Linked DNA regions of Canis lupus familiaris. The protein of the gene in region 2 interacts with the protein of the main gene of each other region in a biochemical or structural test. Links are inferred from orthologs where the notes say so. Each region holds a gene or a part of one and is shown on either strand. Other genes may lie near its edges. The genes, in order: MITF and PIAS3.

The links.
Region 1: the proteins of PIAS3 (region 2) and MITF form a complex in vitro, tested with the Homo sapiens proteins (2 studies listed by BioGRID). The link is inferred for Canis lupus familiaris from reciprocal best matches to the Homo sapiens genes PIAS3 and MITF.

The regions. Positions count from the first base shown.
Region 1 is NC_049241.1:22,007,810-22,014,723, forward strand, and holds part of MITF (microphthalmia-associated transcription factor), read right to left. Parts: intron 2,109-6,914; coding exon 1,991-2,108; intron 1-1,990. UniProt on the Homo sapiens protein: Transcription factor that acts as a master regulator of melanocyte survival and differentiation as well as melanosome biogenesis.
Region 2 is NC_049238.1:59,312,954-59,320,363, forward strand, and holds the start of PIAS3 (E3 SUMO-protein ligase PIAS3), read right to left. Parts: upstream 4,972-7,410; 5' UTR 4,894-4,971; coding exon 4,870-4,893; intron 4,325-4,869; exon of another isoform or gene 3,689-4,324; intron 2,976-3,688; coding exon 2,558-2,975; intron 2,410-2,557; coding exon 2,325-2,409; intron 2,086-2,324; coding exon 2,035-2,085; intron 1,785-2,034; coding exon 1,694-1,784; intron 1,179-1,693; coding exon 1,044-1,178; intron 813-1,043; coding exon 707-812; intron 122-706; coding exon 48-121; intron 1-47. UniProt on the Homo sapiens protein: Functions as an E3-type small ubiquitin-like modifier (SUMO) ligase, stabilizing the interaction between UBE2I and the substrate, and as a SUMO-tethering factor.

The DNA.
Region 1 (6,914 bases), on a different chromosome or scaffold from region 2:
GGGCACCCTCCCCTCTAGTATCTTAATTTTGTTTCGTTTTGTTTTGTTTTTTCAATTTGCTAGCCCACAACTATGATTTTTTACCCATCAACCTCAACCCACCAAGTGTAGGCCAGCTTTGGTCAAGGCTATCCAGTGAACTTCACTGCCATTTTGTAGTTTTACCCATATCCTCCCCAAGGCAGTAGACTCTTGGCCTTGGGGAGGAGGGCTCTTCCTCAAGCTTAGATAAACCCTCTGCAGCCTCAGGGTATTCTTCAGTATTCATCCTCTCTGAGTAGCTATGTGCCTGCTCATGGTTAACAATTCTTTATCTTTAACCTCCCCTGTTCAAATCATGGTGCCCTCTGCTTCCTGACTAGAGGGAAAATCACTTAATAAAGATCATTTCTTATCCCTTAGGTCAGATCTGAGTCCTAAACTTATTCTCTTTGGCTACATCATGCTGTCTCTCAGCTAGCAGTGTTCAGAACCCCAATTCCTGTCCATTTTCTCCTTTTCTTGGCATTTTACCCTTTTCCTGTCTCAAGTGGTCATTTTCTAAGATACAAAGTGATTCTAGAAGTGTATAGCTCATTATATCTGCTTCTTTTTTTAAAAAAATAATAAATTTATACCCTCTTACTCATTTCTCTCATTCTCACCCCCTGCCTCTGTTGTTTTTTAAGAAATAATCATACACATAACTCAAAAGTCTACTTTGGGGGGTGCCTGGGTGGCTCCATTAGTTAAGTATCCGACTCCTGGTTTTGGCTCAGGTCATGATCTTGGGGTTATGAGATCTAGCCCTGCATCAGGCTCCCTGCTCAGCTCAGACTCTGCTTGAGATTCTCTCCCTCTCCCTTTCCCTCCCTCTCTGCTCCCTCTCCACTCGCACTCTCTCTAAAATAAATAACTTCTTTTTAATTCTAAAAAAAAAAAAGGTCTGCTTTGCATTTAAGTCATAAGAATTTTGTTCATATCACACTAACCATATTTTATCATTATTGAGTACAGACCTCATATAGCATTATTTTGTAAGACTTCGTGATATTTTTCTTTCCAGGTAAAGTACCTACTTTTGTTGACTTTCAATGGGTTTTACATATCAATTAATTTATTACCTCTTAACCTAAATCAATGTTTTTTTTTAAATGGTCTTTCTCTTGCCATTATCTTCTGAAGTATTTTTTTTAAAAGACACACTTGAACAAACAGGAATTTTTTGCCCCAAATATATATCTCATATTCTTAGACTGTTCATTCACCTAATCCTACAAGATGCAAGGACCAGACATTAAAAAGGGGGATGAGGTGAGGGCCATAAACTCAGTATGGTAGAATGTCAGTTCTAATGTAGTTTTGTCATGTTTTAATGGCCAAATGCCTTCCCTAAAGCATTAAACAAAATGGCAAAATAGGTAATTTCTCAGTGCCTCAGGAACAAACAATATCCATCACTCCATTTTATAATCTTATTTTTTTTTTACTCTGTGTAATAAAGCTTTTGCACATGATGTAGCAAAAATAACAGGAGGCCTCCGAAGATGGAAGAGACTCATTCCTACTCTATCTTGACAACTGCGGGCTTAAATGCAGGTCAAAGAAAATTCCAGACCAGGGTTCTCAAACTGGAATGCCTCTAGGGGCTTGGCAAGCAACACAAACACCAGACTGTGTAGAGACATTTTTTAGGTAAAAGTGTTGCCTGCTGCTCCACCTCAAAGGGGACAGCAGCCAAAGACGCCACGATGGGTGTCATGGAATAATAATGGTGCTTTGGAGTGACAGCAGATCCAACTCCCAGTATCTCAAGAAAAACTGGCAACCAGGATTTCCAAGTATAAATCCTTCATCTTAAAATATTGCTCGATACTTTCACCACAGCACCGACCTAAAAAAAAGTATGTCTACAAATTGGGAATAGTCTAGAGGTCACAACTTTGATAACCTCACTTGTCAGAAAATAAACAGAAAATCCCCAGGAAGAGGCACACTTGCCAGTATTTACCTGTGAGCTCCCTTTTTATGTTGGGAAGGTTGGCTGGACAGGAGTTGCTGATGGTGAGGCCTGGGGGAGGCAGGCCTTGGTTGCCATAAAGATCAATCAGATTTCCAGAGACAGGTAACTAGAGAGAGAAGCAATAACAGAAATGAACTACTGAGCAATTCCTAGGTTATTCAGCTAGCACCCAGATCTATTCCAGACTTTATCTAAAAGAAATGGTTTGATGTTAAAAATCATATTTTAAAACAGAAAAGCAAGACATGTTTACCTTTCCACTCACTTAGATAAATGGTGACCTTGACTTGTTCCCTTTGAGAGAAGAAAGGATGCAGAATCCAAGACCCATAAGATGGTTCTACAAGCAGCTAATAGTTATATTTTGAGCATGTAGACAACAAATAATATGGCAAACTCATTATGGAGCACATCCAGCAGCATATAGCAGATGTTTAGTAAATGCTGACTATTACAGTCTAATAGGGTTCTATGTGGCATGGCTTTTTCCACCAAATTAGGTTTCTCGTCAAAGTCACTTTTTTCCTTCTCTCTCTTTCCTTCTCCCTTTTTATCTCTTTTTATAGGGAAAAGGAATGAAAAGTGTTTTCTACTAGAAAAGAAATGGTTTCCTTATTGCTAAAGAAAAGCGCTTTTCCTTGAAACTGAAATCTCTCATAGAACCACAAGAGGGAGCCCACTGACTTTAATAAAACAACAAAAATTTACACTTAAAAAAAAAAAGAAGGGTAAAGAAATATTTAGCCCTCTTGAGCTAGCTTAAGAGTGTTTTTCTCCAGGTCTGAATTGAATATTTTGAAGTAGTGAACTTCTTTCTGTCTCCAATGCTGACTTCCTTTTGTTGTATATGCATTTCCCTGTACCTAGTTCACTGATGGAGTTTAATGCACCCATTTTTGTGAGCATGAGAAGTCCCAGACATTTCTTCTGCCCACCCTCTGAATATTAATTATGAGGGCACAGTTAAGTGACCGCACTGCTGCCAGTGCAGAAGCTCCCTGTTCCCAGCTTAATTCAAACAACTGCTCTAAGTGTTATTACCAAGTAAGACTTAGAGCATTCAGCCCATCCCATCCTTGATTATACACTCTGAGTTTTACTTTACATCTGAGAAAACTCAATCTAGACAGCATTTTCAAGTTGTTTAGTGACCAAGAGGTATTGAGCAGAGATTATACTACATGTCACCTTTCATTTTCTCCAATGGCCACTACCATACAAATAAAAATATCCCGCAGGATAAAGATAATGAATGCGTTTCCCTTCATTGATAGCCTTTGACCACCTATTCTTTTTAAAACATTTATTTATTTATTTATTTATTTATTTATTTATTTATTTATTTATTTATTTATGATAGAGAGAGAGACAGAGACAGAGACAGAGACAGAGAGGCAGAGACACAGGCAGAGGGATAAGCAGGCTCCATGCCAGAAGCCCGAAGTGGGCCTCGATCCCGTGGCTCCAGGATTGCGCCTTGGGCCAAAGGCAGGCGCCAAACCGCTGAGCCACCCAGGGATCCCCTGACCACCTATTCCTAGTGTGGTTTCTAAGTAAGTACTCTATGAACTAAACCCCAAGCTAAAGAGGTGGGAGAGGCCTGTACTTTCTTTCTGACAGATAAACAAGACACTTGCTCTAATATGACTGAGGCTGAGAGCAGGAAGGACAGGCAGATCGACAGAGCATGTCTCTCTCTTATCCATTCAGTCTTTTGCTTCTTTTTGAAGGCAGGATTTATATTATGTATATAAAATGTAATACACATTTCCCACCACACAGATTCACATATAAACAATGCATTGTGACAATTTAAAATGCTCTTGAACCACAATTCAAGGTCCTCTAGCTAAAAACCTGATAAAAAGTGACTTTGATGATTAGCTGTCATTTTACTAAGTGGTTTTATTTGAAGTAGGTCACCTTCCTAGGGTCAATCTTGCTCTGTGTGCAATCAGTTCTACTCTTGTCCAACTTAAGACAGCACAGTGAAAGATGTGCAAATGTCTCAATACAGCGTTGTAAAGAGTGTATTGAGTCAGAGCATCAAAACTTATAAAGCTGCTATGACATCTCATAACCCCTCTGCATTCCAAAGATTTATTCTATCTTTCTGGAGCTCCAGATTTTCAGAGGAACTGCTCAGTATTGAATGTGGCTTCAAAATTCAATGCAACAAGCTAAAAAATATACTTCTATACCCCTAGAAATACAAATCATATCTATAATATTTTCAAATGCAAGCTGCAAGCAAAACAATGCAACTGTGTTGTGATGATGATTTGTTAGGGAAAATTAATAGACAAGAGATACACAGTAAGCTTAAAAAAAAAAAACAAAACCCTTTAAGTCATCTATGGATTTACACTGAACAGACAGATATCTAATTATAAGCTTCTCCAGGGCAAGAACCTGTTTTCTAAACATATTCTAAAGGGGAACGAGGTGCACATATACTTAACAAATGTAGACTCATATGAAGGATGAAGGGAGGGAGGGAGAAATACAGAGAGGGCAAAAGAAACAAAAACTGAGAATAAGAGACAAAGACACAAAGGAATGGGCAGAAACAAAAAAGAGAGACACATGTACACAGAGGAGAGAGGTGGAAAGACAGATGGAGAGACATTCAGGATGCGGTTGGGGAGAAAAAGTACAAGACTGGGGTCACCCAGAGACAAATGGGCTAGGCAGACAAGATTGCTGTGAGTGGCATGGATTGACAGCAGTGCCCGCCAAGAAGGGAGATGAATTTTTTTAAATATTTCACTTATTTATTCATGAGAGACACACACACACACAGAGGCAGAGACACAGGCAAAGGGGAAAGCAGGCTCCATGCAGGGAGCCTGATATGGGACTCGATCCCGGGACTCCAGGATCACGCCCTGAGCCGAAGGCAGATGCTAAACTGCTGAGCCACCCAGGAATCCCTGGAGGGAGATGAATTAAAATCTCTATAACAGGATGCCTTATCAGACACTCCACTAAGATCAGACATCATTACTTCCAGTCCAAAAAGTGGCTTATAACCCTCCACCTACTTCTCTAAAAGATTTCCCGCTTCGGCTGCTTTTCCAATACTTGCTGATTAGCAGCTGGCAGCATACAACCTGCCAGGATATTTTGCTGGGGAACATTATTTTGTGGGCACCTACTCTGGGTCCGGCACAGAACTAGAAAGGCACTTTGTATATGTTGCTTTAATTGATTTTATGAAAGAAAAGCCGTAGTTCTAGCTATGTCTGAATAGAGCTTCGTGGCAGGAGGTTCATATACCATGTTAATAGCAGTATTTGGGAGGCGGTGTCAATCTGCTGATAAACCAAGTAGAAACTGCAATTTTCAATTAATCTCCAACTGGATATAAGCAAATAAAAACCTAGTTGCTCACTAGCCAAGTATGGCTACTCAAACTTAGAAATTATAGTGCAGGCTGCCTTAGGAGCCAGAGAACTCGGTTAAAACCTGCCTGTGTATAACTGACCTGCTGTGTGATACTAACCTTTCTGAGGCATGGTGCCCCCTTTGAAAAGTGGCAATCCTATCACCCATCTCACAGAGTTTTGTGAGAATTAGAGGTCCAGTAGGTGAAACACTGTATTTAAGTGATCAATAGTGCCATGTTCAGTAATATAATTTTCTACAAAGTACTGTATTCCCAGGCTGTTTTAAACCTCAAGCTAACTTCCATGTTGAGCAACTACATGTTAATTATAAGGTATCCTGTCAACCACTGTACCAATTTTACCAGACTGCAATGCAAACCTAAACACAGGAATCAAGGGAACTATTGAGCTGGAGTAACCACCCAGTGTTCAAATCAGGGCTTCTCCATTGTTAGTGGAGGGCATTTGTCAAAATTGTAGAGCCATTTTTGGGTGTCACAACTGGGAGGGGGGGGGGAGTATCACTGACATCTAGTGGGTAGAGGCCACGGAGGCTGCTAAACATCCTTATAATGGGCAGGAAAGCCTCCCAACAAAGAACGACCCATCTCAAATATTAATTATGCTGAAGCTGAGAGACTGCCCTGAAATGGGGCCTTACATTCTTCACACTAATGGCTGTCATTTATTGAAGCTACTAACAGGAAGGTTGATGAAACATGGCTTTCTAATTAAAAACCAGCCATGCATATTTAAGAAAGGATTCTGTGGTTCCCCTTCTGGGTTAGAAAAACTGCCCCATAAACATTATAACTGGGTCAAAGATATTATTTTGATAATAATAATATCTTTGGAGCTAAGAAAGAGGAAGAGGCATCTTCTGCTAACATCGCTATGTCATGTCTTTGCTGGGTTTTTATCCAGCACATTAACCTGATGAGTAAGATTTTAATTGCAGCACACAAGCTGTACAATGGGAAAAAGTCCCAGTCTAACAGGAACACATAAAGAGAAGGTAGACACATGTGGGTCTGTGCCCCAGACTTGGTCTGAATTGAGTTCTTCAATGTTCTGCTCCACCAAAATGAATATTTTTCCAAGTAAATGATCATTGTAAAATGTTATTATTTTTTTCTTTCTGGATGTTCCCCTTCTCTGAATATCAATTGAGCACTGTTAGCACAAGTAAACTGGGACTTTTATTCTTTGTTTGTAATGGTACAAGAGGGCCCTTGTGCTCTCAGAATAGTTATTTCTAGATTCCAATTCCCTTAGGATAGTTTCCTCTCTAAGTGATCCCTCCACTTTATTTTTTTTTAAGAAGTTAACTTGAAATAAAGCATATCGAAGAATCAAATAAAAGGAAAAAAGTGCTTAACATGAAGAACATGAAGTTTAAATTCTTTTGAGAGCGGAAAAAATTAAAATGTTAGTGAATTGTGGTAGCACTGGTATTTATTTTACAACCCAAACCCAAATTTATCAATAAGAACTAGTAATCAATAATTAGTAAAAACATAACA
Region 2 (7,410 bases):
GAGTTAAACCCAACCTCCCTCCCCCTTCTCATCTCCCTTGTACCTACCGGGCACATGAGTGACACCCGGAGACTTGTAGTGGCCACCTCACTGTCTGGGTCAGCGGTCAATTTCTCCTTGACTGAAACAAGAATGAGACCAGAGCCATGGGGTCAGCAGAGCTGGAGATGAAGCCTAGGAGGTGGTGAGGCCAGCAGCAGATGGCTCTGGCTGAGAAGCAGCTGGGTAGAGTGCCTTTGGGGGCCAATGGGATGTCATATGGGGGTGGTCTTTGAGGCCAGTAGGATATCACATGAAGACTGGGTGTGAAGGAGAGATTTCTCCATCCCTGAAGATGCTTAAATAAAGCTGGGTGACACTTTGGCAGAGATGACTTAGAGGGAACTGAGGCATAAGAGAGTTACATTACATGATCCTTAAGACTCTTCCAGTCTAAAGAAGCCATATCCCAGCAGGGCTGGAGACAGGGTCTGTGAGGTGCAAAGCAGATGTATAACTGAGAATGCAAGGATATCACTCAGTGCCTGGGAGTCCGCTAACTTCTCAACCATGAAGATTAGTAAGGGGATAGGGGGAGGATTGGGGTTCAGGTGAGACGTGAGGGATACTTGTCACAAGAGGGGAATGGGTTTGGTTTTAAAAGCTGGAGGACCAGGAAGACTTGGATCCAAATCAGAGCGGGAAAGAGGGGCAGGATGTTACTTACTCAGTGCCCGAGAGTGGTCTGGGTTCCGGATACCCTTTGCTCTCAGTTTTTGTAGAAGGGTCCCTGCAGTCAACTGCCTCACCAGGTACACAGACAAGGAATAGTTCTACTTGGAGGTAGGGGGAGACAGTTAGCCTCTGCTCTGCTCCTCGCAGCCACCACCACCACCACCACCACCACCACCACCACCCCAATCCTTTGTCCCATGAGGATCAGAGACAACGGGTTAAGGCAGAAAGACCCATAAAGAGGAAGATGTTTTCCCAACCCAGGACACTGGACGATGCCCCTCACCCCCTGCAGGCTTCTCCAGGCTCCCTGCCCCAGCCCTGCTCACCCGTCCAAACTCAGATGACCAGTTGACCACGATGGTGTTGGGAACAGTGGCTGAGAGTCGAGCCAGAGGTGTGATGTTGATGGGGCGGCTAGGCCTTTTGGGCTCAGCCCCATTCTTGGTAGGAGGAAGGTAACCCTAGGGAAGGGAGGGGCTGGTCAAGACATCTTGTCTCAGGTTACTCACTTCCTGGAAGGAAGACCAGCTCACTCACTGACCAGGGACATGGGGACCCATTCAGTGACTCACAAAACTGAAGCACTATCTAGGGTTGTGTGTGGGGTTCATTCCTGGGGAGAAAGGAGAGCTTATTTATTGACCAGGGAAATAGAAACCCACTCACTGAGCTCCTGAGGAGGAAGAATAGGGTTGCCCCACTACTTCTAACTTTCAGCTCTGAGGTCATCACTTCAGAGAAATCTTCCCTGAACCTTTGGGTTGAACTGATGTGCTTCCTCTGGGTTCTGACAGAACCCTTGTGCATCAACCCTATCTTAGTATCCTCTAGATTGTATCCATCACTCAATACGCTGAGTACCTACTATGTACCAGGCACTGTGCTACACACATCTCTTCATTAATACGTTTGTATTTAACATTTAAGAACTGAAAGAGGGAAGGGGTTACTGCCAGAAGAAGGGAAGAGCATTTACCGGCAGGGGGCACAGTTTCCCATTGACCTTGACAAAGAGGTTGGGGGGAAAATAATCCTCCTGGGGGCAGCTGGTCTCACAGAGACAGAATCTGGTAAGAGAAGAAAAGATGAAAGGGTGGGGGAGGTAGTCTCTTGAGTTGAAGCTGACAGAAAGGCAGGGAACCTCAGTCAGCCAGTCACAGATCTCTGTATCTGTAGCCCTCAGCACCCACAAGAGTCCCAGGGTCAGGGTGGACGTAGCACAGCAGGGCTATCTCCTAGCAGTGTCCGACATACCCTTATTTCATTCCCACCCCCAGTGGAAGCCCAGCAGGGAAGGAGGCGGGAGGATCAACTCACCTGAGCTGCACCTGGATAGTATAGTCACATTTAGCTCCTGGAAGAACCTCTCTATGACAGGGAGGAGAGGGAAACATGTCAGGATGTGGCCCCCAGAGGGCCAGGCTGAATAGACAGAGAAACAGTTACGTGTCCCAGAGATAGAGAAGAGATGCACAAGAGAATGAGAGATGACACAGGTGCAGAAGGATGGACAGGCAGGAGACGAGGACAGACGAGAAGAAAGGCAGAGAGCAGAGTCCCGGGATAACCACCCCAGGTCAGAGGTAGGAGGGTGGGAAGAGAGGTACCTGGATGTGAGAATCTGCTGCACTTGCTGGGGTGTGAGGGCAAACGTAAAGTGTGCCTCTTCAAACCGCTGGCTAGAAGTGGACGCTGAGGATACAAAGGAGCAGTTACTCCTGAGCCCATGACAGGCAGCCACAGACGCTACCCCCATCCCAGGCCACTGATCCCACAGGACTAAAGCCCAAGGCTTGGGCAAGAGGTAAGATTCAGGAAGATGGAGGAGGCAGAGCCATACCGAGGGTGGTGGGCCGGATGAGCTCCCCATAGACTTCATAGAAGGGCAATGGTTTCATGGTAACATCAGGGTGCACAGGCTGGGGCAGAGGAGGGTGCATGTCCACCTCACGCTTGGGGCCCAGCAGCGTGCCAGGGGCCAAGAGGGCAGGGGGAATGGGAGTAAGAGGGCCAGGGGAGCCGACAGGAGGGGGGCCAGGGGGCAGAGAGAGGAGGGAGAGATCAGAGGGGCCCAGGGTCTTCCGGGGAAAGCGTCGGCGATAAAGCTCCTTGATCTTCATCTGGACGCTGGGGGCACAGCTGGACTTGAGCAGGTGCAGGGCCTTGGCCAGGAGTTCGTGCTTTCGTCCACTCTTGTTCCGGCCAGCAAAGCCCAGCAGAACCTGAAGCTCAGACACCCGGAAGCTCATCACCATGTGCTGCAGAGAACAGAGACATTTGAGAATACTGCCAAAGAGGCAGTGCCTCCCCCGCCCCCCTCCCCAAGAGAAATATGCTTTGCAGCCAGTGATTACAGCCGGACAGCCAATCTGGCCAAAGGGACATCTCAGTCCCATTCAGCAGCCCTCAGGTCAACCTTACCACTGCCCCCCCCCCAGAGCCTGAGTAACCCTATCTCCCCGTGCCTGTAAGCTGGCCAGGTGGGGCAGGGTGCAGGCAGCAAGCCATCCACAGGCACACCTCCGAGTCCACTGTGGCCTCCTACTTCCAACCCTGCCTTGAGCCTAGACGCTCCTTTAAGCAGCTTATCTCCTCTCCTGCCCTTTCTCAGACTCTCAGACCCAACCCAGCCTCCTGGAAAGAGGGTAGGAGACAGGGAGAAGGAGGGGGAGAAGAGGAATCAGGCCAGACAGCCCCACAGGGAAGAAAGGGGGCAGGTGGCCAGAGGATTGTGCACCATGGCACACCCCTCCCAACACTTCAAGCCACCTCAGCTATTTTCCCCAAGCCTCTGAAGCGTCTGTGGCCAGGGTTTTCAGGTCAGGGTTCAATGCTTGTAACTTCCCCCCAAATCCTTTGTAAGCATCAACACCTTTCCCTCAGTCCTATTCTTCTAGGAGATAAGCGACCAAAACTTGGGGCAAAGGGGTTCATAGTAAATCACCCAGTCCAGGGTTACTTTCTTGTTTACCTGTTTACTCCATCTGCCAGGAACTAATATCCTGTTTCTCTCCTACATAGAGAAAATAAGTAATCCCCCCCCCCCCCATAGCCGTGGGAGAGGAGAGGGCTAAGCTGTAAGCAGGGGCCCTGGGGAGATGAGAAGGCTGGGGCGCCTTCCCAGCCTGGGGGCAGACCTGCAAGTTCTCCTGGGGCAGCTGGACCCAGGGACTAGCCCGCCAAAGACTACGGCTCCATTTCAAAAGGCAGAACAAAGCCAGGAGGCAGGGGGATGAACCCAGTGGTTTTTTTAAGGTTCTGTGAGATGTCCTCCGATAGGGGTACCCTCAAGCCTGTGTGGCAGTAGGCGGGCACCACACGCTCGCTCTCTCGCAAAAGGACACCCTCCGTGACTCCCCGGGAGCCCTGTCACGGGCGGGCTCTGCCAGCCGTCCACGAGTCGCCCCCTCCCAGGAGCCTCCCTGGCTTCGGGCCCCTTTTGAGGAATGCGGTGAAAAACTGGCCCATCTACCTTTCTCCCACCCTCATTTCCTCTGTCCGGTTTTCAGTTCTCCGTTAGCTTTGTCAAGAACGTCCCCTTTCCATCCCACAGCCTCACACTCCTGTACCTAAGCCCAAAGACCGATCCACCAGGGCAGCGGCTTCCTCGCCGCCCTCGAACCCGCAGCCCGCGCGGCCCCGCCCCCGGGATCTCCGCCGCCCGCGGTGCTCCCGAGGCTCGGAAGCCCGCGGCAGCCCCAGAGCTGCCATCCCCTCGGCGGCACCGCGCGGGCGCCTCCGCACCTCTGCCCGCGTCCCAGCCCCGCATCTGCCCCCTACTGTCGCGTCTCGCGGCCTCGGTGACTCGCCCCCCGCGCCCCCGCGGCAGCTGGGACCTCGGCCTTCCTCGGGCACCCGCCCCGACCACCGAGTCCGACCCGTACCCCCGCGTCCCCGCCCCCTGCGCCTCGGCCCCCGACAGCGGCAATTCCCCTCGGCCCCACCCCTGCATCTGCCCCGCGGCCCCGCCCCCGAGCCCGTGGCAGCCCGGTCCGCTCCCGCCGCCGCTCGGCTCCCGCTCGGGCAGCCGGTCTCCGCCACGTCTCCGCGCCCCCCGCCCCCGCCGAGCCCTCGGCACCCGGGCTCGGTCGCCTCCCAGACTCGGCGTTCCGCGGGCGCAGTCCACACGGGGCTGGGGGAGGGGGCCGGTACCTTTAACTCGCCCAGCTCCGCCATCTTGAGACATCGCCGGCGCCCGAGCCCGAGCCCGAGCCCAGGCCCAGGGACCGGCGCGCAACTCCCCACCCCGGCGCCCGCCGCAAAGGCCGCCTGCTCCGCCCCGCCCGGCCCCTGCGCCTCCCCTCCCGGCCCCGCCCGCCCGGCTCCGGACAGGCCCCGGCCTCGGCCCCTCCCTCCGCCCGACCCAGCCCCTGCGCGGCTCCGGCTGGGGTGCCAGAGCGGAGGGTCCCCGGGGGTGAGGAAGGGGAGGCGGGCCCGCAGCGCCCGAGGGAGGGCTCTGCCACGCCGGGACTGGGAGGGGGTGAGCTTTTAGAGAGCCAGAGACACTTGAAATACGGGGGGAAAGTAGCGAGAACTGCTCAATCTTAGAGAAATGGGGGAGGGGTGGCGAAGTTGGAGCAGACACCGTCATCTCCTCCTCGACGAGTTTAACCAGCTCAAGTCAAGAGTTCTACCAACTCGGGGAACGGGTGAGATCTGACCCGCTTCGGAGAAGCTGTGCAGTGGTGACGGTCAGGACGGCTGCTCTCGATTCCTCGCCCCCCACCCCCACCCCCACCCCCACCCCCACCCCCCTCCCGGCCAACCAACTACAGTGCTGCCTGGGGTCCCGCGGCAGGACTCAAACTCCGCAGCAAAAAAGTTTGGTGCGACGAGCGGGACTTACCAGCACAGCTGCGGGGAGCGGGGAGGGGGCTCGGGAGGCTCGGAGGGTGGGCCGGGGAGGTGGGGGGGCTGCAAGGCTGGAGGTCGGTCGGTCCGGCAGCTGGACGCTGCAGCGGCAGCTCCGCCCGGACGCGAGCTCCGCCCGGCCCGGCGCTGGGGCTGGGGCCGCCCCCTCCGGGTGAGCCCGCCAGGACCGCGGAGGCGGGGGCGGGGGCGGGGGCGGGGTCGGAAGCGGGGAGGGGAGGGGCTCCGAGACCCGCGCCCGGAGCTTAACTCCTTGAAAGGGTGCGTGAGCCAACGGGTGGGAAGGGAGGACGTTCTGGGGACTCAACCTGCTCACTGTTGCTCCGGCCCCTTGCGCTGCTCTGCCCGCCCGGCGCGATCATGCTGCGAGGAAGGCCGGGCCGACTGGGATTTGGCCGCCTGAAGAGGTTCCTACTTGGAACGAGACTCCTCTCCCTGGGGGAAAGCCTGGGCTGCTAGAATCTAAAGTGGACCTAAGCCCCAAGTCTCCCTGTGGTCCCTCACCCCCTACCCCAAATACTCAGACCGTCGCCGGAGACCCCACGCCTTTGGTGGGGCTGAAGGTGAACAGAGGGGAGGTTTTCTTCCCAAAACAGTCGTCTTTCTGCCCGTCTATGAATTGCCTACTTTTCTTCCAAAGCCTTTGCCCTTCCAGAGACCCCATTCTCTTTAAAATAGGGATCCCTGGGTGGCGCAGCGGCTTGGCGCCTGCCTTTGGCCCGGGGCGCAATCCTGGAGACCCAGGATCGAATCCCACGTCGGGATCCCGGTGCATGGAGCCTGCTTCTCTCTCTGCCTCTCTCTCTCTCTCTCTCTCTCTCTCTCTCTCTATATCATAAATAAAAGATAATAATAAAATATATATATTTACTTATTCATGAAAGACAGACACAGAGGGAAAAGCAGGCTTCCTGCCGGGAGCCTTATGCGAGACTAGACTCGATTCCCGGGGTCGCAGGATCATGACCTGAACTGAAGACAGATGTTCAACCACTGAGCCACCCAGGCATCCCCAGAGAGGCCATTCTCAACCAGGCTGATCACTCACATGCAGGTACCAATTCAAGCACCAAAATTAGGGCAGTTTACCCAAACTACATACTGGAAAAACTCAGCATTTTAGGTTAGTTGGCTGGGACCTAAGCCATTATGTCATTTGTTCAACAAACATTTGAATGCTGTTCAGAGATTGTTAGGTGCTGAGGAGATAAAAAGCTTTTCAGGAGCTCTTGGTCTAGCAGTGGCAGCAAGACAGTTAAACCTATAATTGGCATTAAAATAATAATAAATAACATGAATAACCCTCTCATATAGCTTAAACCTTCAGTATAATCCTTCCCATGAGACCCTACCCAAGCCACAAGAATGAAGGTACCAGCCTAGCAACCTCCTCAGATACCTGTTGAATTGGACCATGACCAACTACTTTGTGGATTTTGTCCATAGGGAAGATGTGTACCCTCTCCTGACACTCAGGTTCTTTCCCTGTTGCTATACTCCCTACTCCCAGGTAAGACCAAGCTAAACTCAAGCTCAAGTATTTGATTCTAAGTCTTAGCTGCCAGAGTGTCTAGGTGGCATAGTTGGTTAAGTCTCTGCCTTTGGTTCAGGTCAGGGTCCTGGGATCAAGCCCTGCAGTAGGCTCACTGCTCAGCAGGGCGTGTGCTTCTGCTGCTCCCCCTACTTGTTCTCTCTGTCAAATAAACAAAATCTAAAAAAAAAAAAAAAAAAATACCAACTGCCCCTTCCAACACTTGAGTTTTCATCAGGCCCAGAGCTTGTTTTTTGTTGTTGTTGTTGTTGTTGTTGTTGTTGTTGTGTTCA